Linked DNA regions of Arabidopsis thaliana. The protein of the gene in region 1 interacts with the protein of each later gene in a pairwise test. Each region holds a gene or a part of one and is shown in the gene's direction. Other genes may lie near its edges.

What was found.
Region 2: the proteins of ARD4 (region 1) and VOZ1 interact in a two-hybrid assay, tested with the Arabidopsis thaliana proteins (one large-scale study listed by BioGRID).
Region 3: the proteins of ARD4 (region 1) and PGK interact in a two-hybrid assay, tested with the Arabidopsis thaliana proteins (one large-scale study listed by BioGRID).
Region 4: the proteins of ARD4 (region 1) and TUA2 interact in a two-hybrid assay, tested with the Arabidopsis thaliana proteins (one large-scale study listed by BioGRID).

Annotation. Positions count from the first base shown.
Region 1 is NC_003076.8:17,626,083-17,632,007, reverse strand, and holds ARD4 (RmlC-like cupins superfamily protein), read left to right. Parts: upstream 1-2,644; 5' UTR 2,645-2,885; coding exon 2,886-2,897; intron 2,898-3,122; coding exon 3,123-3,210; intron 3,211-3,426; coding exon 3,427-3,521; intron 3,522-4,140; coding exon 4,141-4,380; intron 4,381-4,515; coding exon 4,516-4,644; 3' UTR 4,645-4,876; downstream 4,877-5,925. Other genes in the region: CLH2 (chlorophyllase 2), read right to left, coding at 1-510, 1,247-1,516; HSFA6A (heat shock transcription factor A6A), read left to right, coding at 5,644-5,877. UniProt on the Arabidopsis thaliana protein: Catalyzes 2 different reactions between oxygen and the acireductone 1,2-dihydroxy-3-keto-5-methylthiopentene (DHK-MTPene) depending upon the metal bound in the active site.
Region 2 is NC_003070.9:10,026,394-10,033,065, forward strand, and holds VOZ1 (vascular plant one zinc finger protein), read left to right. Parts: upstream 1-2,689; 5' UTR 2,690-2,874; exon of another isoform or gene 2,875-3,280; 5' UTR 3,281-3,319; coding exon 3,320-3,550; intron 3,551-3,670; coding exon 3,671-3,820; intron 3,821-3,917; coding exon 3,918-4,434; intron 4,435-4,523; coding exon 4,524-5,086; 3' UTR 5,087-5,597; downstream 5,598-6,672. Other genes in the region: AT1G28530 (deneddylase), read right to left, coding at 5,734-5,852, 5,953-6,073, 6,156-6,386. UniProt on the Arabidopsis thaliana protein: Transcriptional activator acting positively in the phytochrome B signaling pathway. Functions redundantly with VOZ2 to promote flowering downstream of phytochrome B (phyB). Down-regulates 'FLOWERING LOCUS C' (FLC) and up-regulates 'FLOWERING LOCUS T' (FT).
Region 3 is NC_003070.9:29,922,626-29,928,902, reverse strand, and holds PGK (phosphoglycerate kinase), read left to right. Parts: upstream 1-2,266; 5' UTR 2,267-2,441; exon of another isoform or gene 2,442-2,576; 5' UTR 2,577-2,607; coding exon 2,608-2,802; intron 2,803-3,102; coding exon 3,103-3,180; intron 3,181-3,268; coding exon 3,269-3,529; intron 3,530-3,617; coding exon 3,618-3,935; intron 3,936-4,043; coding exon 4,044-4,202; intron 4,203-4,361; coding exon 4,362-4,556; 3' UTR 4,557-4,880; downstream 4,881-6,277. Other genes in the region: FTSH12 (FTSH protease 12), read right to left, coding at 158-435, 652-878, 1,085-1,269, 1,499-1,927; AT1G79540 (Pentatricopeptide repeat (PPR) superfamily protein), read left to right, coding at 6,227-6,277.
Region 4 is NC_003070.9:18,515,215-18,521,062, forward strand, and holds TUA2 (tubulin alpha-2 chain), read left to right. Parts: upstream 1-2,371; 5' UTR 2,372-2,522; coding exon 2,523-2,615; intron 2,616-2,617; exon of another isoform or gene 2,618-3,077; coding exon 3,078-3,312; intron 3,313-3,405; coding exon 3,406-3,776; intron 3,777-3,861; coding exon 3,862-4,515; 3' UTR 4,516-4,786; downstream 4,787-5,848. Other genes in the region: AT1G50000 (methyltransferase), read right to left, coding at 1-114, 330-444, 550-611, 724-832, 915-961, 1,059-1,201, 1,522-1,595, 1,836-2,030; AT1G50020 (tubulin alpha-6 chain), read right to left, coding at 4,930-5,052, 5,356-5,463, 5,654-5,848. UniProt on the Arabidopsis thaliana protein: Tubulin is the major constituent of microtubules, a cylinder consisting of laterally associated linear protofilaments composed of alpha- and beta-tubulin heterodimers.

The DNA of each region.
Region 1 (5,925 bases):
AGAACTCTTCCCTCTAATCCCTTTTGTATCATCATCAAGCATGTCCAAATGCCCATAATCCTTCGCAACGAAATGCCATGCTGGACCTTGACATTCCCGAAAGAACTCTCGGTGATTCACTCCGGGAGGTGCACACGGTGGGAATAATGGGTTCCGAGCGGTTTCACCAAGCCCCGAACCGATCACAAGTATAGGCGTTTTGTCTAGGTCAAATGAGTTTGGAAGGTAAGCCAACACCGGAGGAGGGGTTTGTTTCCCTTTCCCTGTTCCATCGACTGGATCTATACCGATCAATGTCGAGATCTTTAGATTCGAGGAGTACCCAAATTTCTTTAAGGCGACCGCAAACGCGGTTTTGCCACCGCGGCTATGGCCGGAGAGGGCAAATTTGGATAGGTTTGGTGTTACTTGCGCTGGAAGAAAGTGATTAAGTCCTACTGATAACCAATCCATAATCTCCGCCGTTGATTTAATCTCATCCATTGTGTCTGGTCCGGCGATACTATATAACTGTTATAATATCACATAGCCAAGAAATTTGATTTACAACCATATAAAATAAAATGTTAACATTTGATATTAGAAATTCGAGAGACTCTAGAGACAAAAACAGGATAAACACATCAAGTGGACCCATTGATATGCATTTTTGTTCTTACTTTTCTTCTTGTCTAAGGTTCTTATAAGAGCCAAACAATAATAAAAGAAAAGTTTCAGAAAAATAACTAATTTAAACGTGGCATAATGTGTTCCATGCATCCAGCTGAATTATAGATACATCTTGGTTAAATCCTAAATCCTAAATCCTATAAGTCCTAACAAATCAATGTATATGTATTTATTATGATTTTTTTGGATTCAACTAGAATATCTTAATACATGGACCTACATATTCATGAACATTCACACTAAACCTCAAAGGACCAAGTAGTCAGTCACATGCAATATTTGCACAAAATGGAATGGAACGAGATTGTAGCGAATTTACATTTTTCTAAACTCTACACTAATACTAAATCCCTAAACAAAAACTATACACTGGATTTAACAATTCCGATAGTACCATTTCCATAAAAATAACTCATAACATTTTACTAATTAAACAAAAACTATACACTAGTTTGACCCCCCAAAAAATAATTTCTATACTAAATTACTAATACACATAGGAATCTAAAACTAAACAAGAATTTCAGTGGCTAATTAGTTCCTGAACTAATGTAATGATTGGAAATTGAAATTGAACCTGAGGAGCGATGAGGATGAAGCCATGAGAAGAGACATGCAACATAAGCTGAGAATAGAAGGAGTTGTAGAGAAGGTAACCATGGAGGAGCATCACCACCGGATAATCTCCTTCCTCCACCGGCGTAGCCACCAACAGCTGCTTTGGCGGAGACGGTGAAGCTCTAGAAGACGGTGTTATTTTGCAGCAACGAGATGATGAGTCCAAGGTTAAGAGATTTGATTTGTATTTGCCATCTTCAAAGGCGTTTCTTGATGAAGAAGAGGACATTTTTTTTGTTCTTTATTAGTTTTTCTTTTCTTTACTTTTTTTGTTTGGTGGGTTCATGAGAATGAGGTGAGTAGAGATATTATTAAAAGTTATAAGAAGTATGGCCGTTGAAATCTTGGTTAATTTTAAAGAGCACATAAACAAAATCAAATAGAAAAAAATTACTTATGTTAAATTACTTATATTATTGGGGTTGGTGTAATGATAAATCTTCCAGATGTAGATATTGGATTAAACGTCTGTTGAAAAGAATCTATTTTCTAAAGAATATAAATTTAACTTGTGTCCCATCTCTAAAAAATATAAGACCTTTAAATTTAAACTTCTAAATATTTTTTTTTAAAAAACAAATCAAATAGAAAGAAATTACTTATGTGTGCATGGAATATAACAACTACAATCATAAGGCCATATATTCATAGTCTATTTTCAGTATTGAAACCTGATTTTTTCTAATTTTGGGTAATAAATTTTATGAAGTCTTTTTATTATAGTCTAGTTAAATTTCTCTATATTTAAACAAAGTCAGATCCTATATATATGAGATTTTTTGGAATTTTAAAAAATATTTAAATTCAAACAAAATAATTGGAGATTTGAATTTTTGTAAGAAAGTTACTTTGTGTTTCAGATTAAATTTAATAATAAATGGTCAAAAGATTTATGACTAAGAAGTATTAAAAATTAAAATATAGAAGAGAAAAAAATTGATATGATATGATATGCTCTTAGCAAAAAAATAAATTGATATGCTGTTGCTGGGTACAAGGAATGGGCTTTGTACTTCATACTAGACTACTTTTTCTCTAGTCCAATTTAAAAAAAAAAAAAACATTATATAACATTCGAGACTAATTTAAAGTGTTAAACGGCCCAATTTGTATTACACGGCCCAAGTTAAAGTGTTAAACATTACCTCATTACCTATGTACGATTTGTGGAAAAAAAATATATATACCTATGTACGATTTTGGATTACATTTTTTTTTTCTAGTTAAAACTAATTTCAAGTTTGAAATATAAATTATATATCTGAATATAGATCATTCTAGTTCAAATCAGATGGAAATATATGAACCTCAGAAAATACAATATCATACAAATGAGCCAATGTTTTGGTCTTATTCATTCATGATCATTGTGGCTCGAAAACGGTTGTTTTTTTCGTGCAAAAGAAAAAATAACGATTTTTTATTATTAGAATTTCGAAACCAGAATTAATAAAAATTAGGAGAAAGGAAAATAATACGAATTAAAGTGATCGTACACGTGGCTATCATCGACGGAGGAAATAGCCATTTATTTATCTGATCTTCATCACTCTGATGAGTCTGAAATCAAAAAAGCATTTACACAACGAAGATCATTAATGGCTCTCGAGGTGAGTTCTGATTCATAGGTTCTAGATTCTGATTTCGAATCTCGATTCGTTCAATAGTGATTATCGTTGCTCTTTCGGAATTATTTTGGGGATTTGATTTGATTTTGGCAGAACTGAGAATTGGGATTTGATTTTACCGTTTTGCAGCTGAAATTGAAAATTGAATCAAAAGTTTTTTCTTGAGATTTTTTTCTTTCCCTGAGGCTTAAGTGTTGATTGATGCAGGCATGGTTTATGGATGATAGCAATGAGGACCAGAGACTTCCTCATCATCGTAACCCGAAAGAACTCGTCTCGTTGGATTACTTGGCAGGTCTTTTCAATTCTCTACCTTAAAAATTACTCTTACTTTGCAACTTTTGAAAAACATCAATCTTTCATGCTTTATTGTATTGAGTAGTGATTCTACATGAGGAAACTAAACGTAAACCGTCTTAAAACTAAGGAAATGGTCAAATTTACCCAAGATGAGATTTAACAGAATCATAAATTATGCAAATATCACAAATATAGTTGTTGTGTTTTGTAGAGTTGGGAGTGTTGTACTGGAAGTTGAACCCTGAGAACTACGAGAATGATTCTGAACTTAGCAAGATTAGAGAAGACAGGGGTTACGATTACATGGTACGCATATTATCTCTTCCTGATCACTGTTTTTTCTTAACTTAGGAACACTCATGCTCATCATAAATGCCAATTGAATGTCTCTGTTTTTTAACTTGTTGCATATCGTTGCATGTTGATCTCATGAGATTAACGATTGTGACATATACTAGACACAGTAGGAGTGTAGGACTACATAATGAAGGTAGTACTCAAACCTTACAAAACCAGCCTATGAAGAAAGAAGCCTTATGAGTATTAGAGTACAGGATTTGCTACGGCTTATGTCTTTCTGATCACCCTTTTTTAACTCATGCTCACCATAAGCGGCTATTGATGTTTCAGTTCCTTTACTTGTTATCTCTGCACGCTAATCTCATGAAAAAAAAAAACATGTATCATAGGACAGTAGGACTATAATCTTGCATAACCATTAAGGGGTAGTATGACTACAAACATTTTAGAAACCAGCTTATTAAGGAAGAAGGCTTCTCTGTAATTGAGTATTAAGGGAACATTAAAACGTTTGGTTTACGTTAAAAATAATTAAGCTATTTGTGTGGTGTGTAGCATTGTAACTTATGAGCTATAAACTAATTTTCTCAAGCAGAATGATTACTTTGGTTAATCTTCATTTTAGGATTTGCTGGATCTGTGTCCCGAGAAAGTCAGCAACTACGAAGAAAAGCTGAAGAACTTTTTCACAGAACACATTCACAAGGACGAAGAGATTCGGTACTGCCTAGCAGGAAGTGGCTACTTTGATGTTAGGGACAAGGATGATCGTTGGATCCGTATCTGGATGCAACCTGGCGATCTCATTGTCCTTCCTGCCGGAATCTACCACCGGTTCACACTCGACGCCAGCAACTACATCAAGGTACAAAAAGCCAAACTCAGTCTCTATACTAATTTACTAATTTATATGAATACGCAAATGAAATATTACATCTTAATATCTTATGTTAAAAGATTTGATTGTTGGTTTGTGATGTATGGTGGTTTGGTTTTGCAGCTAATGAGGCTGTTCGTGGGGGAACCGGTTTGGACACCATATAACCGGCCACAGGAAGAACATCCTGTTAGGAAAAAGTATATCCACGGCTTAACCTACAAGTTTGGAGAAACCGTTAAAGCACATTAACAATATTAATATATGCTTGTTGTGTAATTTGTATGTATTGTTTACTCTTTAGTCTTAAGCAGTAAAATAAAAACAGCGGCTCCTTCTGGATAGTTGTTCTTGTAACATACTTTTGCGATGTATGCTTTTATACATAAAAAAAATAGTGTGTATTTATCTAATAAGTATCATTAAAAAACAAATGTCAGCTGCGAACGTGAAATTTATAACTAAAAAAACCCTACGATTTTCGAATAAATTATTTGAGCTTTCCAAACTGTAATTCAAGTATTATTACTTATATAGTGTTAGTGTACTTCAAAAGTTAAAGCATAAATTTTCTTATATTTGAAATGACCTCTTCTTTACAAAATCTTCTTAAAATTATGCATTATCAATATATTAATTGTATATATATATATAATGTATAATTCTGCTTGTGTCGTGCTTAACCGTTTGATTTGGTGTGGTTAGATCTGGTTTTCCCCCAACCCAATTCAATTGAATCAAGGATCAATCAAATTTTCAAAGGATACTCTTGTTCTCTACACAAATCTTTCAAAGGGTTCCACCAAAAATCCCATCATTCTGACTTCAGAATAAACAAACAAACCACGAAACGTATCTCTATGCATTCACTACAACGTGTCATGGGCGAAAACGAAGCTTATAAATGTTGGAGCATAGTCACTAAATTTATAATGATTAATTAAATTTTAGATTTTCTGATATTCATAGAAGACAAAAGAACACAAAAGTAGCATCTTCCAATGAATGTATGACACTATGATCTCTCATTTCCATTTATAGCAAATCGGCTTTGTCCACATCAAAGATAACTAATAAATAGACTTATCCAAAACACTCAAAAGCAATACATTTCTATCCAAAAATATTAAACCCCAAAAATATAGACAGCATAAAAGCATCCTCAAGCTTCAGCTATTCATCACAACTATTCTCTCCTCTCTCTTTTTTTATTAAAAAAGCTCAAATTTATATAGGTTTTTTGTTCACAAAATGGATTATAACCTTCCAATTCCATTAGAGGGTCTCAAAGAAACGCCACCAACGGCTTTCTTGACGAAAACATACAACATAGTGGAGGATTCAAGCACAAACAACATAGTTTCATGGAGCAGAGACAACAACAGCTTCATTGTTTGGGAACCAGAGACTTTTGCCCTAATTTGCCTCCCTAGATGCTTTAAGCACAATAATTTCTCCAGCTTTGTTAGACAGCTCAATACTTATGTACGTAACTACTTTTGAGTTTTTGTCTTGGTTATTTTGATCTTCATT
Region 2 (6,672 bases), on another chromosome or scaffold:
CATTTTAAATTGGAGACGAAAGGAACCTATGGGTATGTCGTTAGGTTTATTCCACCAAGAGTCTGAATACTAGAATGAGAGAAAAAAGTTAGTAAAGAAAAAAGTGAGAATAGCTGTTGGAGGTAGAGAAAGGGAATATATTATAGGGGGAACAATCATTTGGGCAAATGCTTAGAAATTCCATAAAAGCATATCATGTTTTCTCATAACGACGATCAAAAAGGAAAAAGACAACACATCGATTTATAAAAACGCATGCTACTTATGATGAGCTAGTAGAAGTTTATGTTGTGTGATATAATCTTAGGAGATTGTGGTAATCAAAATGGGCTAACTCCTTCAGCTAAAGTAATTTATGAATTAGCTTAGTACACTTCGTTTATAATAACTCGAATTTAAATCATACAAAGAGTTAAATGATTTTATCTTACTATTTAATATTAAAAAAGTGATACATTTACCAGACGTTATAGTTAAAACAAAATCTAAATAAAATAGTTTTGGAATTCTAAATTTACACCAATGCACAACAATAAATTATATTGATCTAAAATCATGGAATGATCATAGTCTAAATTTATCCCATTTGAGAGATTTAAGAATAAAAAATTTACACACATTAGTAATAAGTAGTTAAGTATATTTATTCGGGACAAATTTTCGAATTTACCAGACGGTTAAATCGTTATGGTGATGTTCTTCGAAGCATACAATTTTCGTAGATAATTTAACCTCGAGAGTGTAACAATTTGATAAACATCATTTTGTTCGTTTTTTCCAACATGGGATACATGCTTTCTTCTACCATTAAAGTATGGGCTCGACGTTAAGCATCATCTAGTTGAGCCACTCTTATCCCTAGCTTATTTTGAATTTGAGTTGGATGTTTTGTCACATATGATATAGAAATCTATTATGGTGACATTGAATTCACCTTGGAGACCTTAAAGAAAAGAAAAAGAAGGAAAAAAACTTCTCCACTGTCACTAATTTGGTCCGGATCAAAGATAAAGTGTAGTGGTGGACCGATCTATATTCCAACCAGGGATATATAAGATGTAAGGTGCATACTCAAAGAAAATATTGTCAATAATTGGCTGTTTAACTGTGATTAATATATAATCGTACTCAGTCAAGAATTGGTTGTTTAAAATTAGTGGAGATATTATTTCTTATAACCTAGTTAAAAGTTGAATTTGAATATTTTTTTAGAGTTCATACGACGAACATTATGTATTTGAAATGAGAATAATAAGCAATAATAGATAAAGAACGATAGAATATGACCATTGAAGAAATTGAAAGTAGATGGTATGATGAAAATTGATGAGCATCACAAGATAGGAATATGGAAAACATAGTGGAGAAAAGCTAAGTTATATTCCTTCCTTGCCAATATCTCCTTCTTTTACACCTTCTTGTATCTTAAAAGAAAATAATAATAACTTAGTATTCACGACACTTGTCCAAATTCTTTACCCAAGATTCCTTTGTTATGCTTGTTTGTTTTTTCCTCCAAAAGTAATGCAAATTTACATTAGGTACAAACAATCTCATTGTTAAAACTCATTGAAAGGATATAAGAAAACAAATGGGTCCAAATTATTTTAAGAAATGACCAATTGTCAAGCGCAACCAAAATTACGGTTATCAATCTAATTGACTTATCTTGAAAATATAATACGTTACATTTCCAATATTCCTTTTTTATTATCAAATTACGTTACATGTAGTCGTAGACTTGAGCACTAATTAGCCGTTGAATCAAAATCTTTAACGTGGTTCTACTACGATGCTATCATAAAGTCTATGTCAATTTATCAACAAAATATACATTCTCGAAAGAAATGTTATCATGAATCGTTTTTTAGTTTTTTTTTCCTACGACTACAAGTACAGCTACGCAAAGTTGCAAACCACTCCCCTCCATACACATTAACTTGGACTAAACCCGATGATCATACAATGTCACAAATTTTAGCGTTACTACATTAGTCTTAACATTTTCTAATATTTGCAAATGTTCCATCCCTAAAATGGATGGTAGTTTTAATTTCAAAGCCTTTTTTTACACTTTTTTGTTTGGTATTTGTTTTAATTTTCTCGTATGTATAAAATTTGCTTAGCTTTAGCCTATCTTGAATTCTATCATCGCATATTCGCATGGTTATATTATATCTTACAAATCGTGTGACCCAAACTCTGATTTTGGAAAAATTCTTGGCGACTTCCCTAATGTATTACATAGTCTAAAGAAAAACTTAAATTTCTAACTCAAATAGTATTTAAATTTCCTCAAATAAGGAGCAAGTAGTGTATGGAGCCAATAGCATTGAAGAAAATGCCTAATTTTCTAAAGCATATGTGCAACAAAAAAAAAAAAAAAACATAATTGAACTCTGGTTAGTTTAGAAAACAAAACAAAAAAAAAAGATTATTTACACAACAAATAGTAAATTTTAAATGCTCATTTAATATTTCTTAATATAAATAAATGCTATAAAGAGAAAAAATGAACAATAAAAAGAAAAGAATCCATAATAAACAGTCCAAATGGCATTTTTTTCCAAAATAATCATTAAATTCCTTAAACATTTCCCCACAATTTGATAATTTTTAAATTTTTATATTTTCTCATAAATTAGTACATTGAATTTAGCTCATAAAAAAGGAAAAAGAAAAGTGGAGGGTGAAGAGAAGAAGAGAATCCAGCAACGTTTCTTTATTTCCTTTGTGTTTTTTTTTCTTCATAATCTCTCTCTTTTTATTTATTCATAATTTTTACTCTCTCCATTTCTTCATTACTCTTCTTTTTATTTTCCGGAGATTTTTCTCTTTGCCTTTGTTATTTGCTGCTTTTGCTGCAGCTACAGTGTAAGTTTGATTTTCTGGGTTCCTTCAAACTCCAAAATCTCGCGTCGCTTTTTGCTTCAGAATCGATTTGTTCTTGTTACTTCGATCTGTTGTTCTTTTTAACTCTGTGCATGATTCAATTTCGTGTTCGTAACCTGTTTTTTGCTGCTTGTTTAGTTCGACAATTAGGTAAAAAAATGACGATCCCTAAAACTTATGATCCTTTTAATCTTCGTTTAGCTACTTCGTTCGAGATCATCTAGGGCTTTTGTTGCTTCATCGATTTTGGGTTTTGATTTACTGTAAATGTTTTGGTTTTGTTTATGTAATCTAAGCATGTACCAATGATTCATGAGTGATCATGTTTGTTATAGGAGCAGAACTGATGTGAAGTGTGTATTTTGAATGTGTTTTTGGTTTTGTACAGAGAATCTTGTGTTTTTGTGGTGGGGAGGTGAGATTTCTTATGACGGGGAAGCGATCAAAGACTAATTGCAGATCTGCTTCTCACAAGCTCTTCAAGGATAAGGCTAAGAACCGTGTTGATGATTTGCAAGGCATGCTTTTGGATCTTCAGTTTGCGAGGAAAGAGAGTAGGCCTACTGATGTTACTCTTCTTGAGGAGCAAGTGAATCAGATGCTTCGTGAGTGGAAATCTGAGCTCAATGAGCCTTCTCCAGCTTCATCCTTGCAACAAGTATGCTTTCGTTTGTTTCAAATTTGCAATCTTGTTGTTTCTTCTGACTTGCATGGGTGATTTAGTTTTCTTTGTTGTTTCAGTCATTGTTAGCTGTGTCATTTTGTTTTGCTTAAGCAGGGTGGTACTCTGGGGTCTTTCTCATCAGATATTTGTCGGCTGCTGCAGCTCTGTGATGAGGAAGATGATGCTACCAGCAAATTAGCTGCCCCCAAGCCCGAGCCTGCTGATCAGAATCTCGAAGCTGGCAAAGCTGCTGTCTTCCAAAGGGTGAGTTGCTCTTTAGAACCAGTTTTTAATGGTGCTTTAGTTGTGTTTGGAGTCCATTATTTTGTTTAAATACTGAGATCGTGGTGAAAGTTTTCAGGGATACAATTTGGTTCAGGGGAAGTCAGAACATGGATTACCATTGGTTGATAATTGCAAAGATTTGTCCTTAGCAGCTGGTAACAATTTCGATGGAACGGCTCCTTTGGAGTATCATCAGCAGTATGATCTGCAACAAGAGTTTGAACCAAACTTCAATGGTGGTTTCAACAATTGTCCCAGTTATGGTGTAGTAGAGGGTCCTATACATATCTCTAATTTTATCCCGACTATTTGTCCTCCACCCTCTGCATTCTTGGGTCCAAAATGTGCTCTTTGGGATTGCCCTAGGCCAGCTCAGGGATTTGATTGGTTCCAGGATTACTGCAGCAGCTTCCACGCTGCACTGGCTTTCAATGAAGGGCCACCAGGTATGAATCCGGTGGTGCGTCCTGGAGGTATCGGCCTAAAAGACGGTCTGCTTTTTGCTGCTCTTAGTGCAAAGGCTGGAGGGAAAGATGTTGGTATTCCCGAATGTGAAGGAGCTGCAACTGCTAAATCTCCATGGAATGCTCCAGGTAGGCTTTACTCTCTTGGAATTCATTCACAAGTATGTTAATTGATCACCATTCTTGAGCTGATCATACTCAAATCTTGATGACTGTAGAGCTCTTTGATCTCACGGTTCTGGAGAGTGAGACACTAAGGGAGTGGCTATTCTTTGACAAGCCAAGGAGGGCCTTTGAGAGCGGGAACAGAAAGCAAAGATCTTTACCAGACTACAATGGTCGTGGTTGGCACGAGTCACGTAAACAGATCATGGTCGAGTTTGGAGGGCTGAAGAGATCTTACTACATGGATCCACAGCCTCTGCACCATTTCGAATGGCATCTTTACGAATATGAGATCAACAAGTGTGATGCTTGTGCCTTGTACAGGCTCGAGCTCAAGCTTGTTGACGGGAAGAAGACTTCAAAAGGCAAAGTCTCAAACGACTCAGTGGCTGATCTGCAGAAGCAGATGGGAAGACTCACAGCTGAGTTCCCTCCAGAAAACAATACCACTAACACCACCAACAACAACAAACGCTGCATCAAAGGAAGACCAAAAGTGAGCACAAAAGTCGCCACCGGGAATGTTCAGAACACAGTAGAGCAGGCAAATGACTATGGAGTAGGTGAAGAGTTTAACTATCTGGTCGGAAATCTAAGCGACTATTATATCCCCTGAGACGAATGTGGAAAAACTCAGGTTTAAAAAGCTGTTTGCTTACCATTTAATTAGGCAGCAGCAGAAGAAGCTTCTACATATCGTAGGGCAAAGTAATGGATTTTCATGACTCGTATCTTTTTTTTCTCTTATATAATAGTTCTCTGTCTATCTATGGAGATTATGTATATATAACAAGAAGTGGATGCTGAAGACTGTCCTGGAGTTAGGAATAGTAAATGTGACGAAGGAGACTGCTTTTTAAGATTCAGTCTATGGAGGTGAAGACATATTTACTGACATTCCGGTTTATATATTTTGATGCATTTTCGACTCTCTTCTGCGATATAATGCAGATGACAAATTATGTAACCGATGGGGAAATACGGTTTTGAGTATCAGTGTTGTTCTTATAGAATCAGGACCTTGTTCAATGAGATCATTGCTCTTACTTAGTCTATGTTTCAGATTTGGGGTTTTGTTAATAAAAATTCTCTGCAGAGCTTCAAAATCTTAAGCATCGTTTCAAGAATCATGTAATCACGTTCTCACTCTTCTTAAGATATTTGCATATCATAGACGCCAAGTGTTACAAGCAATCAATCAAATCATATTCTACATATATTGTACTAAAATTCATCTAAAGAGAGACAGGAACTTCGCTATGCTTATTGTGGCAATAATGGTCTGACCAATGCAAAAGGACGATCTGAATTCACAGACATTAATAATTCCAACACAACTACTTTTTTGGGAGGGTGACTCTTAAGACCAGGCTCAATCAGCCCTGCAAAGCAAAGAATGACACAACACATAATCAGATAAACTTAAAAGGATACGAATAGCATTGAATTTAAGGAATTGAAAGAAGAACCATGGTGTGTTACCAGGCTTGAGTTTTTTTCCTCCATAAAGTTCTCTAGCTAAAGGATTAGCAGCCCAGTGATTCACAGCCACCCGGCTTGTCGGTTGGAACCCTATGATTTTACCTTCGGATGATAAAACTACCTGCTTCCATTAAAGAACCAGACGAAGATGAAGTAGTAGTCCACTTAAAAGAATTCAATTCATCATAATTCACTGGAATTACCTGGTAAGTAGCGATATCTTGCGCAGATGCCTTTGCGTCTTCATTGAGTATTTCCAGAAGAGACGAGCTTGTAACAATGTGATCTTCAACAGACTTAGCTCTGCTGGTTTCTTTCAAGTAGTCAGGTACTTCCCCTATCCAGGCACCTATGCTGCTTTCTAGTGTGATCTCCCCTACCCAGCTGTAGGCATCCTTGAGCTTGTTGACGAGTAATCCGCAGAATGAATCCAACTGCTCATTTGAGGTTTCAGAATTTAGTTTCCGAGAAAAACAGGAAAAAGCACCACAAAAAATAATAAAAGGTTGATCTCATTCTCTCATTCTCAGTATAGAGAGTCCATACTCATGCAAAAATTATTAACCAAATAACATTAGACATGAAATATATATAGGTCTTGGATTGTCTTTACTTTTTGGATGGGTTAACTTATTCATGGCAAGGGATTTACAAAAAAAGGCTGCACCAGTACTTAATCTTATGTGATCATCAAATGAACTAGAGCTGTCCTGAAAAGCT
Region 3 (6,277 bases), on another chromosome or scaffold:
TTCAAATTAATTGCTTTGGAAAAGGAATATATTCATCATATTTTAACTCATAATGAATATACCATCACTTGTTATCATTTAAAAAATTCAACTGGATATAATGACACTTGCCACTCACAATCCCAAAGCCGGACAAGAGTATAGGTTAGAGCTGTACCTCAGAAGAATCAAGCTTCTGAAGGAAGTAGGTATAGGGAAGCTTAGGGCGATATCGCCACCATCTCTTTGATATCCAGAGAGCTCTAGTTCCCTCAGTTTCAGATGTCCTTCCAATAACATCTTCGCGAAGACTTTTCTCTACCTCTTTCATATCAAATTCAACCACATACTTCGCCGCTGAGGAGTTTAACTGTTCTGATAATTTTTCTCGTTCTAACATTTCCTTCCAGGTTGCAAGCCTTTCCCGCCAATTACCTACACTGTCTCCAATTTCACCTATCATAGAAGAATGCAATAGAGGATTAGATGGTCAAAAGCACAGGTTACCAATGATAGTAGATGAGGGATCTAGAAGTGCTGCTCTGAAAGAAACTTGATTAGTGAGATAAGATTAGGTCGTCAAAAACAAAGGTTTCGCACAATAAATCACTTCTTGTTATATCTTCAGCATGCCACTACTAAACAAGTATCACCTAACGAATGTATACTGACCAGAGACACCCAGATCTTGGCTTAGTTTCTTCTTTGCCTCTGTCTGAATCCTAGCATTTCTACCAATTATTTTCTTGAGAGATCCCTCTGTGGTCTCTAGATCGTCATCCCACGCATTTTCTCCAACATAAGAACTATCGTGGACAAGTGTTCCATCAGGCGCTTCAATGAACCTTTTTAATTTCAAGCCTTTAGGTGTTGCTTTCCTCCACATATTTCTCTTGAACCTGAAACACTAGAATAAGTCAGGACATTCTACAAAATCAAATAAACAGAAGTTCTTTTAGTCTTCCCACTCTTGACGCTTTAGATGCCTCATTAGCTGAGTATTTACTTGTTAAAGGATGATACCATAGTTTGAATATGAACCATATTTTACCATGTCCCAGTAGAGAAAATTACAATCGGAAACTGAGGATTAGGAAGCACCTACTTTTCTATATTTCCAGGAGATGGCTCGGGGATCAAAGCCTCCATAAAAGACTCTGTTAACTCTCTTCTCTCTCGTTCTACCCGAGGAGCTTGGATGGCAACATAAACTCTTTGACAAGAAAGTAACAGCGCAAAAGCATATATGAACAAGGCAGCAACTCGTTTACCGTCCCAATTCCTGATGTCCTGATACAATACATCTTCCCTCATTAAGAAACAACCTAATACACTAGTATATGTCGCTAGAATAAGCGTAGTTGTAGTCTCCTCCAAAATTTATGCTTCCGTTAAATCAACAACAAAATAAATAAATACCATACGTTTGTCCCTCAATGTTTTAGAACACAAGCAGAAGTCTAACAATACTTGAGAATCAGAAATTTGATAATTACGTTAAAAAGCTGAACCAGCTTACCTTCCAATGCTCCCACTTGTTCCAATCAATAAACGAAGGCACTGTCTCATTCTTAAAGCGAGTCAGCTCGTGATGGCCCTTGTGCACACTATCCTTAACTCGAGCCACATACTCATTCACTCTCCCACTTGCTTCTTCCGAGTCAAACCCAATTTCTGTCTTCACAGATTCTCCAATCTTCTCCCCAATCCGCTCGGCACCAAGGCGAATAGACTGAGCCAATCTCACCCACGAAAAGCCTCCATCGCTATTAGATGAAGACCCACTACTACTTTCAGACGCATAGACTCGAAAGAGCTGTTTTTTCCGGGTAGCTCCCAGTCCATACTTGGCGGGAAACCGAACAAGACCAAAACTTTTTGATCTTTTCAACAACTGAGTCGATGAAGAGATAAGCGGATTCGGTTTATACGAAATTGCAATCTCCATGAATGAAATCACAAGAAAAAAATTAAAAAGAGAACAAAACCAGACGCATTTGAAGATTTTTCCCGATTAAAGAGCTCTCTCTGAGAAAATTACTGAAGGAAAATGGTGAGTACCAACCATTCAGCTCACTCGACTCTCCGGCAAGACTTACGCTTCTCTCCGGTAAGGAGGTTTATCTACACTGATCCGTCGTTGAGAGTGTCCTAATACTTCGAAGGAGAAAGATGACGCTTAAACTCAAAGAGGCTCGAAGCCTATTAGTTATATAATTGGGCTAGCCCATTAAGGTCCATCAGCCCACTATCCGAAAAATAATATATTTAAACCGTGGAATCCAAGGAGAGACACAGTGGCAAAAAGGGTAATTATAGGGACATTTCTTGGGGTGTTGTCCAAGCTGCTTTTATATAAGGAAGGGATATTGTTCTCTCGCTTCTCGAAAGATCCATTCACCAACTCTTTATACCAGCCTCTGTAACGTTCGATCATCTTGTATTTCATTTCAACCACTCATGTAAGTATATTCTTTCTTCAGATTCCGATTGTTTTCTTCGATTAAGTTTTGAGCTAGATTCTCTAGATCTGTTTCACCGATTTGGTTGATTTCTCCGTCAATCTGAACTCGCGGTGTGCATCTTGTTGTTTGCAGTGTTTTTAGTTTGTTTTACGAAGAATCAACTATGGCGACGAAGAGAAGCGTTGGAACTTTGAAGGAAGCGGATCTGAAGGGAAAGAGTGTGTTCGTGAGGGTTGATCTCAACGTTCCTTTGGATGATAACTCTAACATCACCGATGACACCAGGATTCGTGCCGCTGTTCCCACCATCAAGTACTTGATGGGTAATGGATCTAGGGTTGTTCTCTGCAGTCACTTGGTATGATATCTTATCTCAGTTCTCACTTCACTACTTGCTTATCTGTTGTAATTTTGGTGTGGGAATTTTGATCTGATCTGTTTATCCGGAGAGCCATGCGTATAAGAAGAGTCTCTTTGCATGTTAGGATGTAGATATAGTATTCTTGTTTTTCAATATGTTCATTGACTCTATCGGTTGATTTTCTGGTGTTGTTTGGGTAATTGTTTTAGTAAGTTTACTTGGATATGTTTATACTCAAGTTCAATTGGATGATGCTGTTGAATTAATGGATGTATCTGATCTCAATTTATGTTTCAGGGCCGCCCAAAAGGTGTTACTCCTAAGTACAGCTTAAAGCCTCTTGTGCCCAGATTGTCTGAACTTCTTGGTGTTGAGGTTTGTTCCTCTTCCTCTTCTAGACTTGCAAGGTTTCTGAACATTAGCTTTTAAAAGAACACTGTTCTCACTCTGTTTGTGTTAATAGGTTGTAATGGCAAATGACTCTATTGGTGAGGAAGTCCAGAAGTTGGTTGCAGGACTACCTGAAGGTGGTGTTTTGCTCTTGGAGAATGTGAGGTTCTACGCCGAGGAAGAGAAGAATGATCCTGAATTTGCAAAGAAGCTTGCTGCTCTTGCCGATGTTTACGTTAATGATGCCTTCGGAACTGCTCACAGAGCTCATGCTTCCACTGAGGGAGTTGCCAAATTCTTGAAGCCTTCAGTTGCTGGTTTCCTCATGCAGAAGGTATTTAAAATTTGCAGCATAAAGAGTATCTTCTTAGATGAGTCTCTTTATTTTACTGATCAGACTATTACTTGTTTTATTGTGTCAGGAACTTGATTACCTTGTCGGAGCTGTGGCAAACCCCAAGAAGCCTTTTGCTGCCATTGTTGGAGGCTCAAAGGTTTCAACAAAGATTGGTGTCATTGAGTCTCTCTTGAACACAGTTGACATCCTCCTGCTCGGTGGAGGTATGATTTTTACTTTCTACAAGGCACAAGGACTCTCAGTCGGATCTTCCCTTGTGGAGGAGGACAAGCTTGACTTGGCAAAGTCACTCATGGAGAAAGCAAAGGCCAAAGGTGTCTCTCTCTTGCTCCCAACCGATGTGGTTATTGCTGACAAGTTTGCTCCCGATGCTAACAGCAAGGTAACTATCACAGTCATTGTGGTTGACTCTCAATGGGCCATGTATGAAAGTAAAACATTTAAGCGTCTGGTCTGGTCTCTTTAAAGCTGACACATATGACTCTTGCAGATAGTGCCAGCCACTGCCATCCCTGATGGCTGGATGGGTCTAGATATTGGTCCAGACTCCATCAAGACATTCAGCGAAGCTCTGGACACAACCAAAACCATCATCTGGAATGGTCCCATGGGTGTGTTTGAATTCGATAAGTTTGCTGCTGGAACTGAGGTATGAGCAACTAAACACATATAAACACAAGTTTTAGTCTCACTTTTGTCTAAATCCATTTGTCTTCAACATGTTTGTTAATCATCTGTCTTCAACATGTTTGTTAATCGGAGAAACCCAACTTAACTAACCCAATCTCTTGTCTTGTTTCACCATCAGGCCGTAGCAAAGCAGCTTGCAGAACTAAGCGGAAAGGGAGTAACCACAATCATTGGAGGAGGTGACTCTGTTGCTGCCGTCGAGAAGGTTGGTTTGGCAGACAAGATGAGCCACATCTCTACCGGAGGCGGTGCTAGTTTGGAGCTTCTTGAGGGTAAGCCACTTCCAGGAGTCCTCGCTCTCGACGAAGCTTGAAAATCCTCACGTTGGATTTCATCGCTATTTTGTGTTGTTATATGTATAACAAGTCGTCTGGTTATCTTGTGACCAGACGAGCAAGCCATTATTTATCAGCTTGAGATTTTCGTCTACGGCTCTCTTTTTATGAGTTTTTTAGTTTGGAGCCTTTTTTTAATAATAAGAGATGAAACTCTGATTGACGACAAAAAAAGAAAAGAAATGAAACTCTGATTAGCAAACTCCTCCATACTTCAACCAATGATTTGTCTCTTGCCTATAATTGTCCATTTAAAACGAAACAAGATCGTTGGGACGCATAATTGGCTTAACATGTTTTAGAAAAAAAAAAAAAAAGAAGATTCGTATTCCATCTTATTTGTTAACAACTAAAGGAGATATAAAGAAAATTAGAACACCTTTTACTAAAGAATACCGTGTGTTCTCTACGCTAAGCGGCATACACCTATTTTTGGAGGAGCAACTTCATATGAAGTCCGCTCCATTAAATCATCAGTTCGATAATTCTTAGCTAAATAGTTTCTATAGAGTCGATTGTTATTGAGTTCTCATTAGACAAGTTAAAGGCCCAGAAATTGCCCAATAACGACAAATAACGACATCAGAAATCGTCCCACATCGGATGGAACAGAAAGTAGATGTGGAAGGATTCACATATAAAATGCATTGGTGCACTCACTTCAGAAGTTATGGAGCCGTGTGGTGAATACAAAGCGAACTATTCTTTCGCCTTTTACTAAAGAATACCGTGTGTTCTCCACGCTAAACGGCATACACCAATTTTTGGAGGAGTAACTTCATCTGAAGTTTGCTCCATTAATCCCTCAGTTCAATCTTTAGTTGATTAACCATTAGTAATAGTATACAATTACTTGACAGGAAAAAATAATGAGATTATCTGACCAAAGATTGATGCCGGTTCTGAAGTCTTCAGGAGCGGTTAAGTGAACCAAGTGCTGGGTTCAACTCATAGCGATTATAGATCGATTTGTTATTTATTTGTTGATAATTTATTTCGATTATAGAATCCATTGAAGATCGATTACTCAACGGAAGGTTATCAAGTCAGTTAGTACTGCGGTTAACTAGTGGGTTACTAAACTCAAAGTTATGATACTTATTAGACGTAGCTCGTTTAGTGTGATTTTGAAGAGATAAGAATATATATTTGGCATTATTAGTTAGAAGATTTATGAATTTGTTTGTTTTTGTATTTGCATTTTTCGGTTTTCTAATTCTAATATGTAGGAATCTGATAGAAGATTTTATTCTGTACCCAAAACCGAGACGTTCCACTAATTCTCGATACCGGTTTACCCACTAACCGGCTGAAATCGATCCAGACTTTGCTCCGATGGCAGAAAACCCTTGACGATCAAAGAAAGCCGTCTTCTTCCCCAGACAGAGTCTCTTCCATCTATCTTTAATCGGAGGAGGATTTGAAATCTCTTCAGATCACCGGAAGTTCTGTGAGCTTTCTCTCCCGTCTAATCTCTCCGACCAATCCAAGTGAAGGTGGGCGGCGGAGTATTGCCGCCTAATTCTTATCTCATTTGGTGTTCTTCATTTGTTAGTCATGGAATCCAATCCCCTTCTAAACCCCTAATTTCTGCATCTACGAACTCTGCAACAATGAGATTTGATTTCTCATCGGCTTCGCATTTACTATGAAACCACAGATGTTCTTTCGATCAGTCATTCAGTTCTATTCAAAGCCG
Region 4 (5,848 bases), on another chromosome or scaffold:
CTAGAGTTGCCAAAAGAGCAATGGTTGCGGTCTCAACTCGCAACCGGTGTGGCCCCAGTCCAACTGCTGTGCCGCCTGCTTCCAACATCATCTCCACCTCTTTCTTCGTAAAGTCTGCTTCAATTTCATTGTTGACCGTTAGATAACAAACATATTTTTTATATCACTGAGACAAGTCATATTAACAAGAGCCATAAGCTACTGTTCATTTTGTGTCTACTCGAGCATTAACCCATGATTTCATTTTCGACAATGTGAAAGTGTAGCAAGTCAGTAGAAATTTTAAAAGAGAACTACATCAGAAATGTATTGAAGAGAAGATTTCTTACCGCCTTCTGGTCCAACGATTAATAGTCCGCTGGATTCTTTTGCTGAGGAGTTTACTGCATTAAGAAGAGGTTTAGCTTCGGCTGTAGCAACCAAACATAACTTTGACTTCAAAATCTAGAAAACCCCAAAAGGTGTCAAAACAAGTTTAGAAGAACAAAAAGTCAGAAATTTTATAAACCAAGGATCTTAGAGTTTGCGTAGAAAAATGTTCAAACATACATGATCCAAGAGGGTACCAAATTTGATTGGAGGGTTCAGTACCATTTGATGAAGTCTTTGGCCTGTGACAGTGAAAGATAAGGCAAATAGTTTCTGATCATACAACTATAATGCGAAGGAAAAAGAAGAGCAAGATTAACCAACCAATTGTTTTCTTTCACTATTGCTACTTACATTGCTTAGCTGCAGCAAAACTAACGCGTTCCAATCTATCGACCCGGTTTTCAGAGATTATGGGTGATCTTTCCGTTAAAAGTGGTGTGACACTGCTCGCTCCGAGTTCCTAAGACGAGCATATACACATATTCAGTGACACAATATTCACAGGTGATTTAGACAGTTACATACTAAAAGTAGATACATACTGTACATTTCTCAATTAGCCAATCCGCTCGACCACCCTTCAAAGTTCCTGACAAGACATTTTCAAAGAAATCATGACTCAAGCTGAGCCAGAGACTATAACATCCGGCGATATCGTAAAGTTAGGTTGAAGTCCTATTTCATACCAAAAGCTGCAAACACCTGCCACTGCATGCCCTGAGGAAGAATCACCTTCTGATCTTCTTGTGCGATAAAATCAACTCCAGTTTTGTCTATGCTTTGTATACAGCCTTCTACTAGACCCCCTTTGCCATTAAAGAGTTCTACCCTTGCAAAGAAAAGGGGTGCAAGTCATTACTTACATTCACTTAAGGTTTAGTGATCTTAAACTAAAGAAAAGGTTGGCCTCCTCTCACCTCAGGGTTACTTTTGATGCTATCATTACTTAAACAACTGAATTCCTCATGATAAAGATGCATAAAAATGAAAGGATGGATCCAGATACATTACAAACATCATTCAGATAGGATAAAACTTTTAGCAACATGGATACAAGCAAACAAAAAATGAACAAATCAATTTTTAAAAGGGCCTTTCATGAATGCAACACTGGAAAATGACAATAACATATATGAATGTAGTAATTACCTGTCCTCCTGTTTCAGTCTAAGAACTTTAGCCATATGCCAAAACTCAGAGCCTTGAACACGAACAACTCCACCCTATAAACAATCATAAAACGATTTACACAAAGAGGAGCTTATCATTTCAAACAACAAGAACATTTAATATTATCATTTCACCATGATTTTACCAGAAATTTCTTAGAGATTACAGTGAATTACAGTAATTTCTAAACTTCTCAGTGATTACCCTCACTCTCATTTCGATTGGATTCTTACACAGATTTAAAGGGAACAAAAATTATATGAGATAAAGATAGAGATAGATAGGGTGTGTGCCTTGCGAGATGGAAGATCATCGGAAAAGAATCGAGGAAGGCCACCGCGAGATTGATTCCGGAGATTCAAATCCGACGGAGGAGACGAAGATACAGTAGCAAACGATTTGAAGCTAGAAGTCGGAAGCCATGAACGAACGAGACTCGGCAAATCGGAAAACAGTGGCCGTGAAGCCGCCGCTAGCGCTCTCATCATTTACTCAAAGCTTTGAATTTTTGGTTACCATTTCGAAGATTTTGGTTAATACTAGTTTCTTATCGTTTCGGTTTACTTTAAATATTGGTCTGATCCGGTTCAATTCTAATTAAATTCCGGTTCATTTCCACGCAATTCAAGGAATTTTGCTATTTCAAAAATAAAGAGAAACGGTCAGAAAGCGATTGCCAAACAGAATCTAAGGAATCAAAATTCAAAATTAGAAAATACGCAACTCACGAGGATATCAACAAATCGTGGTTTTAACGACAACCCAATTACATCACTACACGTGTATCATACGTGCCGTTACATACAGATGGATACTTTCGCTTATAAATATAGCATCAAACAGCTCTGTAAAAACCTAGAAATCGAAAAAATCAGATCTAGATCTAAAAGAAGAGCGTCTTCATAAACGCCCTTCTTCTTCTTCGTCTTCTTCCCTGCAAATCTAGTTTCTAGATCTTTTCTTTCTTCCGCGAAACGAAAATGAGAGAGTGCATTTCGATCCACATTGGTCAGGCCGGTATCCAGGTCGGAAATGCTTGCTGGGAGCTTTACTGTCTTGAACATGGCATTCAGGTTCGTCTCTTCCTCTTCTATCTTGATCTGTGTTTTTCTTCATATTTTTCGTATTTTAAAAGATCAAATCTGAGATATTTTTGCGCAGCATTGACCTCGTAGATCTATTTTACGTAATCGTTTAGATCTGTGTTTGATTTCGACGTCTTATGAAATTTCTGTGGTTGATGCGAAATCCGTTTCTCATTTCTAAATTATTCGATGAACCTGGATAGATCTGTGTTTGAATTGGATTTCATGTCAGATTGCTTTTGCTGATGCCATATCCGTATTTGTTTTATAATATTGGGTGAAGGAAAACTTTGCTTTATTTGCTTAAAGAGATGGCGATTGATATTTGCGATATAGTTGAAGCATCTCGTTGTGATTTTCTCTTTTCATCGTTGCTTCTATATGTGTAGATCTTTTCGTTTTATATGTCTCTTTGTATTGATGTGTTGTCTTGGATGTGGAATGTTACAGCCTGATGGCCAGATGCCGAGTGACAAGACTGTTGGCGGAGGTGACGATGCTTTCAACACCTTCTTCAGTGAGACCGGTGCAGGGAAGCACGTCCCACGTGCTGTCTTTGTTGATCTTGAGCCAACTGTGATCGATGAGGTCAGGACTGGTACTTACCGTCAGCTTTTCCACCCTGAGCAACTCATCAGCGGTAAAGAAGACGCAGCTAACAATTTCGCCCGTGGGCATTACACCAGTAAGTTACTCCTTCCCTTGTTTCTTCATCATCAACCATATCTTGTTGAATTTACTGTTCATTCACTGATTTACTTTTGAAATCTTATTTCAGTTGGGAAAGAGATTGTTGATCTGTGCTTGGACCGTATCAGAAAGCTCGCTGATAACTGTACTGGTCTCCAAGGATTCCTCGTCTTCAACGCTGTTGGTGGAGGGACTGGATCTGGTCTTGGATCTCTCCTCCTTGAGAGACTTTCTGTTGACTACGGGAAAAAGTCCAAGTTGGGTTTCACAGTTTACCCATCTCCACAGGTCTCCACCTCTGTTGTTGAGCCTTACAACAGTGTCCTCTCCACTCACTCACTCTTGGAACACACTGATGTCTCTATCCTCCTCGACAATGAAGCTATCTATGACATCTGCAGACGTTCCCTAAGCATTGAGAGACCCACCTACACCAACCTCAACCGTCTCGTCTCTCAGGTATAGAGCCAGCTTCAATCATTTACATCAGTCAGTCTTTTTGCTGTTTCGTTTCTTATGTTTAACTCTCTCTTGATGGTTTCAGGTTATCTCATCCTTGACTGCTTCTCTGAGGTTCGATGGTGCCTTGAATGTTGATGTGACTGAGTTCCAAACCAACTTGGTCCCATACCCAAGAATCCACTTCATGCTTTCCTCCTATGCCCCAGTCATCTCCGCAGAGAAGGCCTTCCATGAGCAGCTCTCGGTTGCTGAGATCACAAACAGTGCTTTTGAGCCAGCATCCATGATGGCAAAGTGTGACCCTCGTCACGGAAAGTACATGGCTTGCTGTTTGATGTACCGTGGTGATGTCGTCCCCAAGGATGTGAACGCAGCTGTTGGCACCATCAAGACCAAGCGTACTATTCAGTTTGTGGACTGGTGTCCTACTGGATTCAAGTGTGGAATCAACTACCAGCCACCAACTGTTGTTCCAGGAGGTGATCTTGCTAAAGTCCAGAGAGCTGTGTGTATGATCTCAAACTCCACCAGTGTTGCTGAGGTGTTCTCCCGTATTGATCACAAGTTTGATCTTATGTACGCAAAACGTGCTTTCGTTCACTGGTATGTGGGTGAGGGTATGGAAGAAGGAGAATTTTCAGAGGCTCGTGAGGATCTTGCAGCATTGGAGAAGGATTACGAAGAGGTTGGTGCTGAAGGTGGTGACGATGAGGATGATGAAGGAGAGGAGTACTAAGAAGGTTGTCGGTTTTATGTGGGATTTCTATTATCTCGTGTTTGTGTGAATAGGCTCGAAACTCTTACGAGTCGTACTTGTGTTTTCAAAAACCATATTTCTATCTCTTGCTTGTGGCGGTAGCCATTTGTTCTAGTTCGTTTGTTTCTGATAATATTTTCATCTCCAAGAACTGAATTTAAGCTGGGTTTGGTTTAAATCGATTGTCCAAAATCTAAACAAATAGAAACGTCAAATTGTTATTTGAGTGGTGAAAGATTGAAATTTTTGGAACAGAGAAGCAATAGAGAAGCAACGATTCTTTTTACAACCGTAAGGAAAATAAATAAAAGGAAAGGCTGTAAATAAAAATATATACTTAGAGCAAATATATGCTCTACACTAGTTATGCAATAAAGAACAACTTGTTGCCTGCTAATTTAGACGAGGATCCATCCCTGATATCCTCTCATCCTCCAACAGAGCATATGGATCGATGTAAGGTGGTGGTGAAACCGGAGTTCTACTTCCATCATGAATGAAATCTGCTCCAAAGTACTATCATTTCAACAAGAAAAATCAGTTTATGGTAAGAAACCTTATCAAATCCATAGAAGAAAGGAACCTTAAAAACTCATTCCAAAACACTTTCTACGGCGTGCGAGAAGAACGTGGAAGAATACTGATAAGCATAAATGTGAATAGGACTTGGGTTGGATCAGAGTTGAGGGTCTTAACTAGGTGGTTGGTTGGAAGAGCTAAGAGGTCTCTTTACAGTCTCCAAAATACATTTGCCACTTTCTTAGTATTCAAGGACTAGAATGAAGAAAAGTACACTCCTTGATCTTATTAAATACTTACAAGGTAAAGAGCAGAGAAGGCGCCGAGAGTTAAGACTATCAATGGCCAAAAGCCCAAGAAGAAAGTCCCTCCAATTGTCAGCAAGATCCTAGCACGCGGAATCAACCCCTGAAACAACAATAAGCAGTTCCTTTCCAAATTTAACAAAACAAACTCCTAAAATCAACCTTTATCATAACTACATAAGCTGCTAAGAACTATCCGGATACAAAAGAAGGCAATGAAACATAATTTCAAGCCCTACAATAACTGACTATGAGAAACTATAATAATTAGAGGGTACTAGTGATAATCTGACCTCAAGCCCTTCGCTGTTTAAAGCCAAAGATCTCTCTCTCTGATTTAACAAGCTTTTATCGAAGGCCGGAGTAGTTGCAGTCGTTTTAGAGCTGTTTCCGGTTTCTTTACCGGTTTTGATCTCATCCTGATCCACTTCATAGTCTTGAAGCAAGGAAGTAGGAGTCATACCACGTCTCTTCAATTCTTTCATAAA